Linked DNA regions of Canis lupus familiaris. The protein of the gene in region 1 purifies or fractionates together with the protein of each later gene. This does not show direct contact. Links are inferred from orthologs where the notes say so. Each region holds a gene or a part of one and is shown in the gene's direction. Other genes may lie near its edges.

Region 1 (5,632 bases):
ACAGATGTATTTATTTTAGAGAGAGAGAGAGAGAGAGTGTGTGTGTGTGTGTGTGTGTGTGTGTGAGCCGGAGGGGCAGAGAGAGTGAGAGAGACAACCGTGGGGACCCCCTGTGGAGCGGGGAGCCTGACTTGGGGCTCTATCCCATGACCTGAGATGACCCGAACAGAAATCCAGAGTTAGCTACTTAACTGACTGAGCCACCCAGGCGCCCTGCCGTAAAACTTTTTATTACAGATTACTTCAGCATCTTTTATGATCTAAATTTTATTCTTTTAATATGTTGATTGACAGATGGATGATTTAATATGATGATTGACAGATTTCTTGCAGTTGAATAGTGCCCTTACACCCTTGTAGTACGATCTAATGTTCCTATGATTTGATTATTGCTGCATTCTATGTGCTGATATTTCTTGAAGCACTGTGTGCATGCCTTCCTACCACCCGCCATGGTAGACCAGTCCTCTGTGCCTTTACTATGTGAGATTGATCTGTGGCTTTATTTTTTACTATGATTGGATTTCGGTATTAAAATTGTAGTGATTGGGGCACGTGGGGGGCTCAGTGGTGGAGCATCTGCCTCTGGCCAAGGGCGTGATCCCGGGGTCCTGGGATCGAGTCCCACATCGGGCTCCCCGCAGGGAGCCTGCTGCTCCCTCTGCCTGTGTCTCTGCCTCTCTCTCAGTATCTCTCATGAATAAAAAAAAGATATTTAAAAATAAATAAATACAATTTTAGTGGTTTTTTCAAATGAATAGGTGAATGCTCCATCTTTTTCTTTTATAGCTCAAATAACATTAGAATCACTTATTGTTTAAAAGTTAGATATAAGATTCATTTATCAGTCCATTTGCTTCAAGTGACATTTGCAATATTTTTAATCATGTCTTCAGGCTCTTTTATGAAAATGAGTCAAATCAAGCTTCAACTATTTTGAAGTCAGCTTTAATAATTTTATATCTGTGCAGGTTATCACTTTATTTTTATTTTTTCAATTCCATTGCCACATGATAAGTAGTTATGTGCACTTTCTTTTTCTTAAATTCCTATATCTTTGTTATTGATCTTTTATCCACAAACAGGTTTGCAAAGGATTTATTTTAGTGGTGGTGATAGTCTTTTCAAAGAATGAGCTTCTGGGTTTCTTTCTTTTTCTCAATTATTCTTTTTTAAGATTTATTTATTTATTTGAAAAAGAGCACGAGTAGGAGGGGCAGAAGGAGAGGGAGAGAGAGTCTGCCTTGGACTCTGCTGAGAATGGAGCCCGATGCAGGACTTGATCTCATGACCTGAGCCAAAACCAAGAGTCAGATGCACAACCACCTGTGCCACCCAGGCCTCCCCCTAGTTATGGTTTTTTTTTTAAGATTTAATTTTTTTATTCATGAGAGACAAAGAGAAAGAGAGGCAGAGACACAGGCAGAGGGAGAAGCAGGCTCCACGCTGAGCCACCCAGGTGTCCGCCTCGTTATGTTTTAATGTTTTTTAGATTTTATGTTTATCGGCCCACCTGGGTGGTGAGAAACTGGAGGCAAAGAGACAGGTTCAATAACTTCTCCAGAGTGAACACATCTAGTATGTGGTGAAGCCAGGGTTCAAACCAGGCAGGCCCTGTTTCGTGGCCACAATCCTGTGCTGCTATAGGTAATTCTCCTGGCTAGACTCTAACCTCCTAGCAACATTTACCCTGGGCTAGAAACTTTGACTTACATCTCTTTCCTGCAGTGACCCTTCTAGGAAGATGATATCTTGATTTTACATGCAGACTTCAGCCACTGCGCCCAGCCTCACCTTTTGTTTCTTTTACTGTGTCTCTAGCTTGACGGCTTCATAGTTCACACTCCTTCACTGTTGTTTCTCCTTGCTTCTTGTCTTGTTTAGGCTAAAATAGTCCCTTATAGCTGGTAAATATGGATAAGAATAATGATACAGAGATCTCAGAAACTGTGGGTACTTGAATTTAACTTAAAATGAAGGAATAAAGTTCTTTAAAATGCTGGAAAGGTCCAATGGGATTCCCTTAAAGTTTCCATATATTTTCATCTAGTTCCTGATCCTTATCTGATTAGCTTTTCTTCAAGGACCAGCATGTAGTATACATTTTTAAAAATGCTACTCAGTTTAACTACTTTTTTTTTGCCTAATTATTCTTTTTACAAAAGATTGTTTTGTTTGCTTTTTAGGTTTACTTTATTTCCAATAGTTGATACTTGAGGTATTTGTGGCTTGCCTTGGGAACCTAATACCATATTCAGCCTGATTTCTATGGCAGAACTTGAGTTCAAAATTTTAGTTGATGATTTTGGCATACATCTGTTGAGTCGTTTTGTGGCTAGGCTACATGACTAGGCAATGTGTTTGATTGTTGGTAATTTTCATATTTACTACCGGGGCAACCTGGGGGGTGTATAAAGCAAGTAAAGTCATCTTTCTTTCCATATATATATTTTTATATAAAAAGAGAAAGGTGGAGGAAGAATAAATTAGCTACATAATGTATGTGCGTTGTTTGAAATGATCTTGAAGTTTTTATAACTACATTATAGTTAAAAACAAGCCTTTGGAAACAAACACAAGGTTTTTTTTTTCTTTAATGTTTTAAAGATAAAGGTGAAACAGTCAAAAATCACATTAGAGGTATGAATTTGAAAATTTGGGAGCACCTGGGCAGCTTAGTCAGTTAAGCATCTGACTCTTGATTTTGGCTCAGGTCATGGTCTTGGGGTTGTGAAATTGAGCCTTGTGTTGGGCCCCATGCTCAGTGTAGACTGCTTGAGATTCTCTGTCTCCCTCTCCCTACACTTGCACGTTCTCTCTCTTTCTCTAAAAAAAAAAAATCTTTTTTTTAAAAAAGTCTAACTTGCATGTGTTATTTTTTGATCTTAAAGGAAGATGTAGATTCCTTCATGAAACAGCCTGGGAATGAGACTGCAGATACAGTGCTGAAGAAGCTGGATGAACAGTACCAGAAGTACAAGTTTATGGAACTCAACCTTGCTCAAAAGAAAAGGAGGTAAGTGTAAAAATTTATGAGTTGTTTTTTGTTGTTAATCTTGTATGGCTTAAGCTTTAAAAATCAAGACATATTTTACATTTAATAAAATGTCCAATTTGATGAATTTTTAGATATATTCACTTCTATAACCATTGTCCCGATTAATATGTAGAACACTCCTATTACTGTAGGAAGTTCCCTACTGCCCCTTTTTGGCCAACACTGCCCACTCCCAGAGACAACCACTGTTCTGATTATCTTTACTATAGATTTATCTGTTCTTGAGTTTCATGTAAGTGAAAGCACATAGTAACTACTGTTTTATATCAGGCTTCTTACACTTAGTATGATGCTTTTGAGAGTCCTCCATGGTTTTGTGTATATCAATCAGTAAATTAGTTTCTTTTTAGTGCTGAACCTTGCTCCATTGTATGTGTATGTCCACAATTTTAATCTATTTTTATCTGTTTGCCTGTCAGTGGACATTTGGGTTGTTTCCCCATTTGGTTTGAAGTCTTTGTGTGGGTATGTGTTTTCATTTCTCCTGGGTAATTACCTCGAGGTAGAATTGCTGACTTGTATGGCAAGTATAACGTTCAGTGTTATGAGGAACTACCAAAAGTCCTCCAAGGTGGCTGTACCATATTTCATTCCCACCAGCAGTGTATGGAGTTCCATTTGTTCCATTGGTCCGCATGCTTGCCAATGCTTGGTATTATTAGTCTAAAGATGGTTTTGAAAATGTAATAGAATGAATATCGAAGACCTTATTCCAAAACATGTAGGGTCATAACATCTTAGATTTCTAGTTTATCCTTATTTTGCCACTAAGATCAGAGACCCATAGAGGTTCTGGCTCTCCCTAGATTTCACAAATAATAGGCATAGGACAAATGGATCCTTGTTCTCAGTTGTTTATTTCTCTGTATTTTTATAGTAGCTTACAAAGTCAGTTCACTACAATAAATACTTGTGAATATCTGCTATGCACATTTCCCAGCATTCTTCTGTCAGTTAAATATTTCTGGAATTCTAATTAGGTGCCAGATACTGTTTTGGGTGAAATAAAGTTCAGTGTCTGCTCTCAAGAGGGACGCCCGTCTAGGCATGCTAGATATGTCAATAAGATAAGCACATAAAGTATAGCAGTTGAGATACTTTAGTACAAAGTAATGAGTTAGCACAGGGAAAGGTGTGATCTTGAGGGTGAGAGTGACGTTCGGGGGAAGCTTCTGGGCTGTGTAGAATTTTGAAGGCTGGTTATGAGTTCGGAGGCAGACTAAAGCAAGGAAGGAGCATCTGGGCATAATGTGCCATTCATGTAAAAGTACAAATGTTTGTATTTAGATATGTTTTCTCATTTGATTTGGTAACAGGGAAATTTGACTAAGGCCTGGGTACTAGATGAAAAGTCATTGACATAGAGTGTTAAACAGAAAAGAGCATGATAGAAAAGACTATGAATGATATGTTTTCATTTTGGAAAAAGTATATCTGTACAAAAATATCTGGAAGAAGGTATACTGATGGTGTATCAACAGTGGTAATCTTTGGGTGGTGGGAATATGGTATTTTTAAAAATCTGGTTATCTGTATTATTAGGTTTCTACAATATTTACCTACTACTTTTATAAGAAAAGCTTTTTTTTAAAGATTTTATTTATTTATTCATGAGAGACCCAGAGAGAGAGAGAGTCAGATAGGCAGAGGGAGAAGCAGGCTCCATGCAGGAAGCCTGATGTGGGACTCGATCTCGGGTCTCCAGGATCACACCCTGGGCTGAAGGCGGCACTAAACTGCTGAGCCACCCGGGCTGTCCAGAAAAGCTTATTTTCATTTTAAAAAGAATAAAGTCAAGTTTTCAGATCACCCACAGGAAGATTATAGATAGAGAAAAATATGTGCCTCAGGACCAAGCCCTGGGAGAGAGGAGGAAATTTGTGTATCATAATTATACCTCTAGTCCTGGGGTATATAGTAGGGTGCTCATCCAAGTTTATATAGGCTCTAGGCCTGAATGTGAGGGATAAAAACCCTCACAGTTTGTACCTACAGCCTTCCTAATGAGTGCACTTGAGGTATATCAGTGAACAAAACAGACAGTCCCTGCCCTTGGAAAGGTTGCAGTCTAGTGGAGTCTAGATAGTAAACACACAATTCAATAGGATTAATATTTATTGTGTACCTGATATGTGCTTGCCATCATCTTAAGTACTTAGGATATGTCAGTCCTTGTGGAGCTGCCATTCTGGCCAGAAAACAACTAGATTATAGACTGGTTAGAAAGTGATAAATGCTGTGGAAATAAATGGAGTAAGAGGATGTGAAATATTGGAGGCAGCAGCCGCTGAGGGTTTTGAGCAAAGAAGTGGTGTAATCTGATTTTCCCCTGTTAAGGTACGACTCCCTCGAGTTGCTGGGCTGGTAATATTCCTGAGAAGGGCAGAAGTGTGGAGCTCAGTTAGTAGGCCCTTTCATTAATCTAGGGAAGGTGATGGAGGTGGTGGGGAAGAAGCGTATTCTGGATTTATTTTGAAGTCGGTGCTAGCATGATCTGGTGGACGAGAGGTGAGGTGTGGAAGGGACGCATGGAAGGTGCTTCCAGGTCTGAGCAACTTGAAGGAAGAGTTACCA
Region 2 (6,386 bases), on another chromosome or scaffold:
CCCTGAAGGCCCTTATGTTTTGAAGAGGTGTCCTCTTACCTCCCAGTGGGCTGGGCCTGTAACAGATCCAAAAGCTGAAGGGTAGGTGAGTATTTCTGCTCCAGCCTGAGCCAATGCCAGAGAGAGTTCAGGAAACCGCATATCATAGCAGATAGCTAGACCAATCTGGAATGAAAACAGCCTAATAGCCCTGTCCTGTTGTTCACAGCATTCAGTCATACCCACTGCCTACGTTTCCTTAGGACTTTCTTTCCATCCTCTACTATCACTTCAAAGTATTTCTCTTCTCCCTCCTGTTCCTCTTCCCCACCTCATCCTTTCACAACTCCCACCTTGCCTGCTGGTGTGCTGACAGGAGACTCAAGACTGGGCCCAGGAATGGTAGAGTTGCTCTCACGCATAGGCCCCTGCCCAGGAATCTCCACGTCACACAGATGGGTCTTCCTGTAAGTGGCCACTACTGACCCTGTAGTAAGAGGGAGAAGGAATGCTCAGTGCTGGTGCGCTAGGAGCCCAACTTAGTTCCTCTCCTCCCACCAAGACTATTTATAACCTAGGCTCAGAAGTACAAATACCCCTAAAACTCAACCAAGGAAACCAAGTTGAGAATTCTGGAGAATGCAAGTTTAGGTAGAAGAGCCTGGGAAGATGTGGCTAAAGAGCTATCAGGTCTCACCCTCGTTGTTTAGAAGCACATGGCAATTGTAGATTTTCTGAGTCTGCTCCCAGTCTTGGCCTCGCTCATGGAAACCACCCAAGGACAGCCAGAGTCCACATTCCCTGGAGGAAGGCAGGGTAGAAGGGGCAACACTGACAATGCTTCTCAATGTTTGACCCTCCTATCTGGCAATTCGGGGACACTGCCCAACAAGGAAGCTACCTTTCCCTCCCCCTTTCCCTGATACCTGGCAAGCTGGGTATATTCTCCCAAAAGGTTCCCACCCAGTGGCTCAGACAGGCGTAGTGTCTCTGCAGGGTCCCTTGCAATGAAGTCAAATGCCTCAGGCAGGAAAGCCAGGCAAGCACCCAGTCTGGCAGCCTCTCGAACAAGCTCGGCGCATGTTTTAAAGTTCTCCTGCTTGTCTGGTGTTGATGTTACCTGGCACACAGCCACCAGCGGCAGTTCCCAGGAAGAAGAGGAGATAGCCATGGCTCTGGGACTGTGAATGGCACGGGCAGGGCTCAGACTTCCAGAATGGGGAAATGCAAATTTAACAATCAGAGTCTTAAGTGGGGGAGCAGGAGGGCTGCGCTGCCCTTTGGTTTCTGCTTTTCAGGGCTCCCCACTGATGAAATGTTCTGTGATGGTTGGCACCCCAGTGTATCCCACCATCTATGCACATCACAGACATTTACTGAACATCTATTAAGTGTCAGGCGCCAAGGACAGAGCAAAACATGTTACCTGGGCTGTGCACAAAGTACTGAGAGTCGAGGTATCCGGAGTCCAGGACACAAGAGAAGGGGCAGGAGCTGGTGAGGAGGCCTGATGATGAAGCCCAGCCTGAGGAAGGTGAGAAATCAGGACACCACTCCCGCGCTCAAGCAGCACATTTCCAGGATTCTCTGACTCCTCTCTTCATACTGGGAGGCTGAAGCAGGGCCCTCGCAGAGAAACACCCCCCCTCCCCACCAAGTCTTACTGGGAGTAATTATGGGCTACAGGAAGACTCATAAAGTGGGAAGACAGAGGAAGGGGCTTTGCTCGGCACCTGTCTCGGCTCCAGTGGGCTCGTATTAGATTGAAGCCCCCCCACCCCCACCCCGCCCCCGCCCCCACCTGCCCGCCCGGGGGAACATACCCGCGGTTCAAAAGGCATCCCCAAGAAACCTCCCTGCTCTCCCCAGCCTCTCCCCTTCACTGGGCACCTGCACGGCGGCACTGCTCAGCGGATGCCCCCTTACCCCGATCTCCGAGGGGAAGCTCACCGTCCCTCGCCCCTCCCACCCCGTGGGGGGCAAAGGGCACCGGCACCCACACACATCCCAGCCCGCGCCCCCACGCTCCGGTCAACCCGGCCTCTCCGCCTCTCCCAGGCGCAGCGGCTCCCTTGCACGGGTTAAAGCCCCGCAGCGGAGTGCACCGCTGGGTCCTACATGAGGATAGAGCCGAAACCGTCGGCAGCGTCCGACCGGAGGAGCGGCCTGGAAGCGGCGGCCCCGGGGCCAGGGGGCGGCAACCTCCAGGCCGGATGTGACGCACGGGGGCGGGGCCGCGCAGGCCGGAAGCGCAGCGGGCGGCGAAGATGGCGGAGAGCAGCGGTCGCGCCGGCAAGAGCAGCGGCGGCGGCGCGGGGAAAGGGGCGGTGTCGGCAGAGCAGGTGAGGAGCGGAGGGCGCGAAGGAGGGCAGCCGGGCCGGGCCCGAGTCGGTGCGAGGAGCGGGCGGCGCCGCTGGCTGGGGCAGGCCCCGCGCGCGTCCCGGCGTGGCGGGGCCGCCCCGAGAGGGGAGGGTCCTCGGAGAAGCTGGCCGGGTCCGGGGGAGAGCGCGGGAGGGTTGGTCGGTGAAGGCCACGCCCCCCCCGGGGTGCAGGGTGAGCCGGCCCGGGGCCCGAGCCCGGCGGGAGGGGAGGGGAGGGGAGGGAGGGGAGAGGAGGGAAGGGAGGAGAGGGAGGGGGAGGGGCGGGGGGCGGGCGTGGCTCTGCCTACCTCCCCGCACCCTCCCGCAGGATAGGCCGGGCCCGGCGGCTCGGCACGAATCCCCGGGGATGAGCCGGCGGGCTGGCCGTGTGGCCTGTTCGGTGACCCCGGCACCACGCTGACCGTCGCCCTCACTCTGCAGAGCCACGTGACTCGCATGCCCCAGCAGTCCGCCGTCCCATACTATTTTGACCCGCACGTCGTTATTAGATTGGATTTCCTGAGCGACCAGAAACCGTGTTGTAACCCGAGTTTGCATCTCCCCCAGTGTCTCAGCAGCGGGAGACGTGTGATAAACAACCCGGAGAGCCTTTTGTGGCGCGCGGGGAGCCCTGGTTTGCTAATGGCGGGGCTAGTGTGTAGTCTGGGTGGCAAGAAATCCCCGCGACAGAAGGGAAAACCTAAGACAACAGCTCTTCTCGCTGCAGGCTCGCTCGCTTGTCAGTTATTTGTCGAATAGTCACCGCAGGCAAAGGTGTCTCCATAAAGATTTTTCAAGTTGGCCCACGCCATCAAAGAGCTCACAGTGAAATAAGACCTACTAAGTGCTAACATAAGGCCGAAGATGAGTGTCCTAACAGGTATAAAGTGCTGTGGGATTTTTAAAAAATATTTTATTTATTTATTCATACAGACACAGGCAGAGGGAGAAGCAGGCTCCATGCAGGGAGCCCAACGCAGGACTCCATCCCGGGTCTCCAGGATCAGGCCCTGGGCTGAAGGCAGGGGCTAAACAGCTGAGCCCCCCCGGGCTGCCCAGTGCTGCAGGACTTTGGGGGGGGGGAACGATAGTTTCTGCCCCCCGACCCGTGTGTTGTGGTGGGAGGAAAAGGAGAAGGAACCTAATACTTTCTGAGGGGTGGCTAAGAGCATAAGAAGTGCCCTAGGGTTGGCGGATCTGTTTTAGAATCACGGTTCTGCTATTTATTATGTGTAGATGACCTCCCATGAGTTCCCTCTCTCACCTTGTAAAAATTTGGCAGTTCATACTTCATCACTGTTTTGATTATTATTAGACAAGAAATGCATGCAAAGTGTTTTGCACAGTAATGAGTATAGTGTTTGTTTTTCTGGGAGAGATAATCCTTCAGTTCTAAAGGATGAGAGAAGTTAGTCAAGCAAAGAAAGAAGCGGAGGGACCCCTGGATGGCTCAGCGGTTTGGCATTTGCCTCCAGCCCAGGGTGTGATCCTGGAGACCCGGGATTGAGTCCCACGTCGGGCTCCCTGCATGGAGCCTGCTTCTCCCTCTGCCTGTGTCTCTGCCTCTCTCTGTCTCTCTCGTGAATAAATAAATAAAATCTTAAAAAAAAAAAAAAAAAAGAAGGAAGTGGAGAATTTCCTAGGCAGAGACTAATGTCCTTAAAAGCAGTGAGGCATGAACCTTTCTGGCCTGTTGGGGATGCAGGTGGGCTTAAAGTATGGGGTGGACTGCAAGACTTCAATGTGAAGAAAACGGGATAGAGAGGAAACTAGAATGTTTCTCAGATTTATGTCTTTGATGGATGCTTGTTCATAGGCAATGTAGGAAGATAGGAAATGCCTAGGGGGGTGGGGAATATGTTTCTCTTGGGGTTTTGAGTTTGGATTTCTTGTAGGACATTCAAGTAGAGGTATTTAATAGTTGGTTTGATTTATAAATTTTGAATTACATTTGAGTCAGAGAACTATAAGCTTATGGAAGGCTGATAAAGTCATGGTAATGGGGGTAGCCCCGGTGGCGCAGCAGTTTGGCGCTGCCTGCAGCCTGGGGTGTGATCCTGGAGACCCGGGATCGAGTCCCACATCGGGCTCCCTGCATGGAGCCTGCTTCTCCCTCTGCCTGTGTCTCTGCCTCTCTCTCTCTATGTCTATGAATAAATAAATAAAATCTTAAAAAAAAAAAAAAAAGTCATGGTAATGGGCAAAATCATCTAGGGTTTGTGCAGAAAGTTGAAAAAAGAAGCAGCAGAACAAGGATGGAACCAATATTTAAGGGGTTATGGAGAAAGAGAAGAAGCCCTCCAAAGAAAGCGAGCAGTTGTGATAATTGAGTTCTGAGGCTGTTCTTGCTTAACATTCTATGGCCTTTGTGTTTCAGAGAGAACACTGGATAAAAAATGTAAGATTTATTGGGGCACCTGGCTGGCTCAGTACATAGAGCATGTGATTTTTGATCTTTGGGTTGTGAGTTCAAGCCTCATGTTGGGCCTAGAGCTTACTTAAAATGTTTTTTAAATTTTTTTATTTACTTATTCATGAGAGACACAGAGAGAGAGAGAGAGAGAGAGAGGCAGAGACACAGGCAGAGGGAGAAGCAGGCTCCATGCAGGGAGACTGATGTGGGACTCAATCCCAGGACCCTGGGATGACACCCTGGGCAGAAGGGAGGCACTCAACTGCTGAGCCACCCAGGTGTCCCCTAAATTTTTAAAAAATACATGTGATTTATCATATCTGCAAATGTGAGCTATATATGTCCCTTATAAACAAGATGGAAGGAAGCAACACATTGTACTAGGCACTTGTTTTATTTTCTGTTATTTAATTACTGCTCTTTGGAGTAGATTATATTGTCCTCCCTTTATAGGTAAGGATATTTGAGTTTCAGAGACTTCAGTTAGCTTATCCAAGGTTAGTAACTGGAAGAGCAGGGCTTTTAATTGAGTGAGTGATTTGAGAATCAGACATATTTTTCCATTTATACCACGATCATATTAGGGATATTTGAGATGAGCCTGAAGGATTGGATAGATTTGAACAGGTGGTAATGCAAATAGAATATAGGGAATAGGATAAGAAGAGAGCTAGGGAAAGCACAGTCTGACAGGAAGTGCAGTGACTGGTCAGTTTAGCTAAATCATGAAGTATAAGAAAGATGTGGTGCTTAAAAGCAAGTTGAGTCTTTGCATGGCAAAGAATTTGGAACTTTTTAATGTAAGCAGTGAGGAAGCCACAGAAAAATATATGGCATGCTCTTGTTATTTTTCTGTTACATAAAATAAGACATGTTCATTGTGGAAATGTAGAAAACACAGGAAAAAGTACAAAATAACAAATAAATTACTCGTGATCCTAGTATCCAAAGATAACTATTATTGCCGCTTTATTTTTGTTGTTAAGGATTTTATTCATGAGACACACACACAGAGAGGCAGAGACACAGGCAGAGGGAGAAGCAGGCTCCCTATAAGGAGCCTGATGTGGGACTTGATCCCAGGTTTTGGGGAGTCACGCCCTGAGCCAAAAGCAGGCCCTCAACCACTGAGCCACCCAGGCTATTACCACTTTGGAATATATCCTTTGATATACTCCAAAGGAGGGTTCCCCCCCCCCAACCTATGTTTTGTGTGTGTGTATAGCTGGAAAGGGAGGACATATCTTCATTACATATTTACATACTTTATAATATTAGTTTTATGCGGTATATACCATTTTGTAATCTACATTTTACGCCTAATATGTCATGAACATTTTTATATGTCATCCAAGTGTTAGGAAAATTAAATTACCAGTAGTGTATAGGATGAATTTGGAGAGTCCAAAAATAGGGAGATAATTTAGAAGACTCTTCCAGATGTAACGAAGTCTTGGACTAGGTGATGTCAGCGAGCCTAAGAAAAATTGCAGAAATGGTGTGATAAGTTTGGCAGTTGTTGGGATAAGGGTGTGTTCAGAGATGAAACGAGGGTTTCCTACCTCAGGAGTTAGAGTGGTGTCCTTAGCAGAAATAGGGGAGACGACAAGAAAAGGAACAGTTTAAAACGGGAT
Region 3 (5,398 bases), on another chromosome or scaffold:
TGTCCGAGATGGATGACAGCATTGTAAGGGTTCTTAGTCATGACGTCCAGCCGCCCAGCCCGAGCATTCAGAGCTGCCACGATCTTTCCCACTGACACATCCAGGTAGGTCAGAAACCCTGTCTCTGACTGAGAGAGAGAGAAAGAATGAGTCCTGATTGCCCTCCATCCTTCTACTGAGATCCCAGAGAAGAAACAGTTTTCTCAAGGGCTGCCACCCAGTCTCTTCACTCCAGAGGCACTCACAGCCGTGGCCAGAAGGAAATGGAAAGGCAAGAACTCCAGCCGTGTGACTCGGTCACAGCGGCGGATACAGTGGAGCTCGATGCCCTGGTTGTCATAGATGTGAAGCCAGCGATTCTGAGCGACAGCAAACAGTGCCTCTGAATGCAAAAACCTGGAAGGAGGAGAAGAGTGGTTAAGAGGGAAAGAGGGTCAAGGGACTGTCATTCAGTCAGGAAGGAGATGCCCCACCCCCACTGACCGGATGTCCCGCACTGCCTCCATGACGTTGATCTCACACATGAGCCTCTTTGTTACCCAGTCAAGGGTGGCCACATGACCCCGGTGCCCTCCAAAAGCCAGGTGTCTGTTGGAGGTGGGGGACAGGCAGCATGTCAACACAGGGAAGCACCCTGACTCAGACCATGAGGTCTTCCCCCCCACCGGCCCCGCCTCTCCGGATAAGGAGATGCTTTACATGCTCACCCTCATATGCAAACAAATCACAGAACCATCCCCACTTCATCAGCCTAAACATATACCATATGGCTGAGGTGAGTGTGGCTGAAATGGTTAAGGAGATGAACCACATCCTAGTTCAAGAGTCACTGATATCCAATCTTACCTCCCAACTGGGGAGTAATTCAGTCTGTAGGGTCCAAACTGCCTCAAGTTTAAATCAAAATGCTGAGAGAGGGAAAAATGAAAAAAAAAAAAAAAATCAAGGAAGAATGGGCTCCTCTTGGTAATTTCCACCTCTAGTTCCCACTTCTATCTGTGCCACCAGTGGCCCCTTTTCCAACCTCAGACTCACCTTGGCTGCACTTGCAATATCCACAGCCTCCACAATCTCAGCCTGGCGTATCTTTGCTGTGTCCTCCCCATCCTCCCCTTCCAGAAACCTAAGGGTGAGCACTAGGGTTGCAGTAAAACTTACAAATACACGGTGGGTGTACCAACGTAAAAATGAGAACGAGAAGCCCCATCAAGCAGGGCCTGGGGAGGTCCACATTAGGATCCACTTACCCAGGTTCCTCAGCAAGAAGCAGTTCAGAACGAGCAGCTTTAATACTTATTTCCTCTTCCTCAGCTTCAGCCACCTCTAGTCGGCTTCGTGTTTTCGACTTCGAATGTGGCAGCTATACCAGCGTTGGCAGGAGAGTAATGAAAAAAGAACCAGGTGTTATGTGGGGTGCCAGGAGAGTCACACAGTTCCTCTTCATCCAACTCACTCATATGCTCTCCCAAGCTGCAATCCCTCCTCACTCCCAGCTGGTCCTCACCTTTTTGGATTTGTCAATGCGACGGAACTTGCGAGCCACTTCCTCAGGGATGGGAGCAGGGCCTGGAAATGGATCCTGGGCCTGGGGAAGGAGGAAGCAATTAGCAGACAGGTTAGGGTTGACCCCAACCATCGCACCTGCAAAGTACAAGGCAACTTGCCCCACCACCTTATCAGGTCCCAGGCTCACCCCGGACAAATTTCTCTGAGGCTCAAGATTTCTCTGTTCTCGAGGTTTCTTCGGGAACTGAGGCTTCCCGGGGATCCGAGACTTTTTTGGGAGGTTAATGTTCTTTGGCCTCTGGGGGCGGAGCTCTCGATTCCTTTTCTTGTTACGAGGGGGCCCTGGAGAGGCTCCGGCAGCGGTCAGAGTGGCTTCCTTCTCCCAGTACCTCCGCGGTTTCTACGGGCAGATCACAAGCTCTAACACTCCATAGCCCTCGCCCCCCCACCCCCGGGACCCCGCAGCTAAAAATTTCCCTTCCACCCTAGCGAGGTCTCTACCTTCTTCTTGGTCTGAAGTCTGGCCTTCTTGGGCTGGACATCTCTGCCGGGTTTGGAGGCTGTTTCCATCTAGCCCACCGGAACGACGACCCACGTGCAAACTTCTCTCAGCTGTCCACAGACGGCTCGGAAACTCCCGGAAGCCCGCCGGCCCTCGTCCAATCAGTGCCTACCAGGTCTGAAGCCGTCTGAGCGCCATCTTGAATGAGGGCCCACTCTCTCTCGAGGGGCGGGGCAGGTCTTGGCTCCGCAATCCCGAGCAGCCGCTTATGCCCGAGTAATGAAAGAAAGGTAGTCTGGGGCTGGGGACAAAGTAACGGTGCAGTTTTTTTTTCCAGCTCCGTTTCCCTGTCTTGCCTAAAACCTCCCGGGTCCAGTTTTCTGGGGGAACACCGTTCACTAAACGTGCCAAAACTACAGTTCCCGGCATGCGTCAGAAGACAGCTTCCGGCGCCTTCTTTTCCCAGCATTCTTTGTTTACTTCCAGGTTTAGTAATAGTGAAGCGAGAACGTGAGTATGGCTGGGTTACGGTTGAGGGGCTTGGGGTCTTGCTGCGCCCGCCACCTCCTGGGGCCTGCGTGGAGGGCTCTCTGGGACGAGGAGAGGCTGTGGTGCCCTGGGAGGCTGCCTCGCAAGAGTGCTGTCCTTTCCGCAGGCCGGGCCAGAAAGGGGAGTTTAGGTACCTCCCAGAGTGAGACCCAGCGCCCGCTCCCACTCCCCGCGGGCCTTCGTCCCCGCCATGGCTGAGCTAATCCAGAAGAAGCTACAGGGAGAAGTGGAGAAATATCAGCAGCTACAGAAGGGTAAGGGAGCAGCGTCGGCGCGGCCTCGCCCCAGACCCTTCACTTACAGCCCAAAGCCAAACCAAGATAATATGTTGTGCCCCACTAGAGGCCCCGCGTGCAGCTCCTTCCCCATCTCGGAGCTCGTCCCCACCCACTGACCTGTTGCCGCCTCCTTGTCTACTTCCTCAGCTCCGTTTTCTTCTCACCAGGATTGGGGTTAGGCGGCACATGTGATGTGTTTAATCAACCCTTTCTTCCTAACCCCCAGACTTGAGTAAATCCATGTCGGGGAGACAGAAGCTTGAGGCGCAGCTAACAGAAAATAATATCGTGAAGGAGGTGAGAGAGGGATATGCCGGGCCAGAAGGGACCTGACCTGGAAGTGATTCTGATCTTGTATGTCCCATCCCTCCATCAGGAGCTGGCCCTGCTAGATGGATCCAACGTGGTCTTTAAACTTCTGGGTCCTGTGCTGGTCAAACAGGAGCTGGGAGAGGCTCGTGCCACAGTGGGGAAGAGGCTGGACTATATCACAGCTGAAATGTGAGTCTTTGTTCTGACACCCTGCAAGGCACCGGACGCCCCCAGCGTAGAATGTCGAGGAGCCGTTGGAGTAGTTCCAGGGTAGCCCTGTCTGATCTGCTTCCTCAAACCCTCCACGGGGAGTCCAGGAGAGTCCAACCCTTCAGCACCCTCAAGAGTAAATCCCATCAATTTCTCATTTGCTTGTCTCTCTTGCCTCTCTTCAGTAAGCGATACGAATCCCAGCTCCGGGACCTTGAGCGGCAGTCAGAGCAACAGAGGGAGACCCTGGCTCAGCTGCAGCAGGAGTTCCAGAGGGCCCAGGCAGCCAAGGCAGGGGCTTCTGGGAAGGCCTGACCCCATGGGGGGGGGAGGGAATGAGGCAGCTCAAGGGTCTATGCTGTAGCTAATAAAATGTGAAAACCCCTGGCTGTTTTCTGACCAGCCACTTCCTGTCATGATGGTCTCTTCCTTGGGCCCCTTCAACTTTATATATATGCCACCTGCATTACTCTGTTCGGTCCCAATTCTCGTGACTGGAATTGCCACAGAGTAATCCTCCTTTTTTCACTGAGACTAAAATCTGAAACGTCTCACACCTACTTGCCTATATACACTACGCTTGCCTTGGTTGGCATGCCCCTTAGGAAACATGAGAAGAGCATTTACCACGCAATGATCATTGGGAAGGCCAGTTTAACTACAGAGCTCACGGTAATCTAAACTGAGACCCCAGGGTGAAATGTGGTGACCCTCTTGCTATGCTTTCTTGTCATCCTCCAGAAAGCCCCAGCATCTTAGTCTCATTCTAGAATTTGTTTGAATGAAGTTTAGGCTGATTTAAAATCCCAGCATGGAACACTTTGTGATGTTGTAAGGCCCTCAAGTTTATACGTTATCCACAAAGTCATTCTTCCATTTCTTTGTCCTAAAATTGTTTCTTACAAATGTCCAACCACGGATTGTTCTTTAATCTGCTCACTTTAATTGGTGACTGGTACTTGCTATGGGTCTGTGACAACTGAGAAGAAAAATAGCAAATAGAGGGAGCCAGCAGAGAGGTTACTGGGGAGAAGGAAACTGTTGTGAGGAAACTGTTTTCGCCAACGCTTCATTTTCAGCAATGGGGACAGAAAACATTGGGCCCCTTGTTCTTTGGTGTCTACCTTTGGCCATCTCCCCACCGCCACTCCCAGAAGCTAAACCATACACAATTCAAGGACAGGGGAGTAGAATGTAGGTAGTGTTTTGATTTATTATCTTAGTGTTGTCACAGTGACAGGAACACCCAGAGTAGGAAAATAAACTCCTACTAGATCCTACTTCTTGCCATCCCCTCTCCCCAGGGCTCAGAGCCTCTAGGCTTTTCCTCTCCCTCCTCCTTGTAGGCCTCTCCTTGGCCTTAGAATGCTAGGATGTGGCCAGGAACCGGGAACTGATCCCTTTTTCCAGTACTGGCCATGTGCTGCATTCATGGAAAGTAGGGAGCTATACACAGGTATCCCAACTTGGTTACCAAGATAACCAGTTCTCACAAAGCTGAATCTCTCAGCCTTCTGGTTAAACCAGTAGCACTTCACTGCCCCAGGGTGGTTGGCCACCTTTCTGGATTTCTTCCCGGTGCAACATGACTGCCACCACTCAGGATGGCAACCCACATTGGTGTGGCCACCATGAGTTCTATTGAGCTCGCAGGGTTTCTTCCTCAAAACAGTGCCCGGGCAATCTTCCTCCCTGTGGCCTTGATCCTGGGAAAAGAACCCCCTCCTCCCTCACTTGGGGGAGTTCCTGAGGCTGAGGGGCTGCTGGTGAGACCCAGTGTAGCAGTAGAGGGCCTTCGCCGCTGCCGTAGGAGGAAATCGTGTGATGCTCCATCCATAGCATAGAAAACATTAGCCGAGGGTGGGATGGTCAGCTCTGTGTGTTCAGAGAAGGAACATCAAGAGCGACATGATCATTGCCCCCACAACCAGTTGGCTATGGAAGCACCACTCTCCTCCCAAGTCTGCCTTCCCTCACGGCCTCTTACCTCGCTCCCCTGGTAGCAGCTGCACTAGCTCATATTCCGAAGCCACCGCAGAGT

What was found.
Region 2: the proteins of VBP1 (region 1) and PFDN2 fractionate together in Homo sapiens (co-fractionation; 8 studies listed by BioGRID and IntAct, counting the BioPlex papers as one, with this or other methods). This does not show direct contact. The link is inferred for Canis lupus familiaris from reciprocal best matches to the Homo sapiens genes VBP1 and PFDN2.
Region 3: the proteins of VBP1 (region 1) and PFDN6 purify together in Homo sapiens (affinity purification with mass spectrometry; 6 studies listed by BioGRID and IntAct, counting the BioPlex papers as one, with this or other methods). This does not show direct contact. The link is inferred for Canis lupus familiaris from reciprocal best matches to the Homo sapiens genes VBP1 and PFDN6.

What each region holds. Positions count from the first base shown.
Region 1 is NC_049260.1:124,325,601-124,331,232, forward strand, and holds part of VBP1 (prefoldin subunit 3), read left to right. Parts: intron 1-2,891; coding exon 2,892-3,016; intron 3,017-5,632. UniProt on the Homo sapiens protein: Binds specifically to cytosolic chaperonin (c-CPN) and transfers target proteins to it. Binds to nascent polypeptide chain and promotes folding in an environment in which there are many competing pathways for nonnative proteins.
Region 2 is NC_049259.1:22,182,381-22,188,766, forward strand, and holds the start of PFDN2 (prefoldin subunit 2), read left to right. Parts: upstream 1-2,179; 5' UTR 2,180-2,246; coding exon 2,247-2,321; intron 2,322-6,386. Other genes in the region: NIT1 (deaminated glutathione amidase), read right to left, coding at 40-165, 333-466, 677-780, 906-1,160, 1,406-1,504, 2,098-2,099. UniProt on the Homo sapiens protein: Binds specifically to cytosolic chaperonin (c-CPN) and transfers target proteins to it. Binds to nascent polypeptide chain and promotes folding in an environment in which there are many competing pathways for nonnative proteins.
Region 3 is NC_049233.1:2,881,927-2,887,324, forward strand, and holds PFDN6 (prefoldin subunit 6), read left to right. Parts: upstream 1-2,476; 5' UTR 2,477-2,518; intron 2,519-2,663; 5' UTR 2,664-2,747; coding exon 2,748-2,811; intron 2,812-3,061; coding exon 3,062-3,132; intron 3,133-3,211; coding exon 3,212-3,336; intron 3,337-3,542; coding exon 3,543-3,672; 3' UTR 3,673-3,773; downstream 3,774-5,398. Other genes in the region: WDR46 (WD repeat-containing protein 46), read right to left, coding at 1-128, 246-396, 484-588, 847-908, 1,036-1,123, 1,248-1,360, 1,505-1,585, 1,694-1,906 and 1 more; RGL2 (ral guanine nucleotide dissociation stimulator-like 2), read right to left, coding at 5,021-5,232, 5,345-5,398. UniProt on the Homo sapiens protein: Binds specifically to cytosolic chaperonin (c-CPN) and transfers target proteins to it. Binds to nascent polypeptide chain and promotes folding in an environment in which there are many competing pathways for nonnative proteins.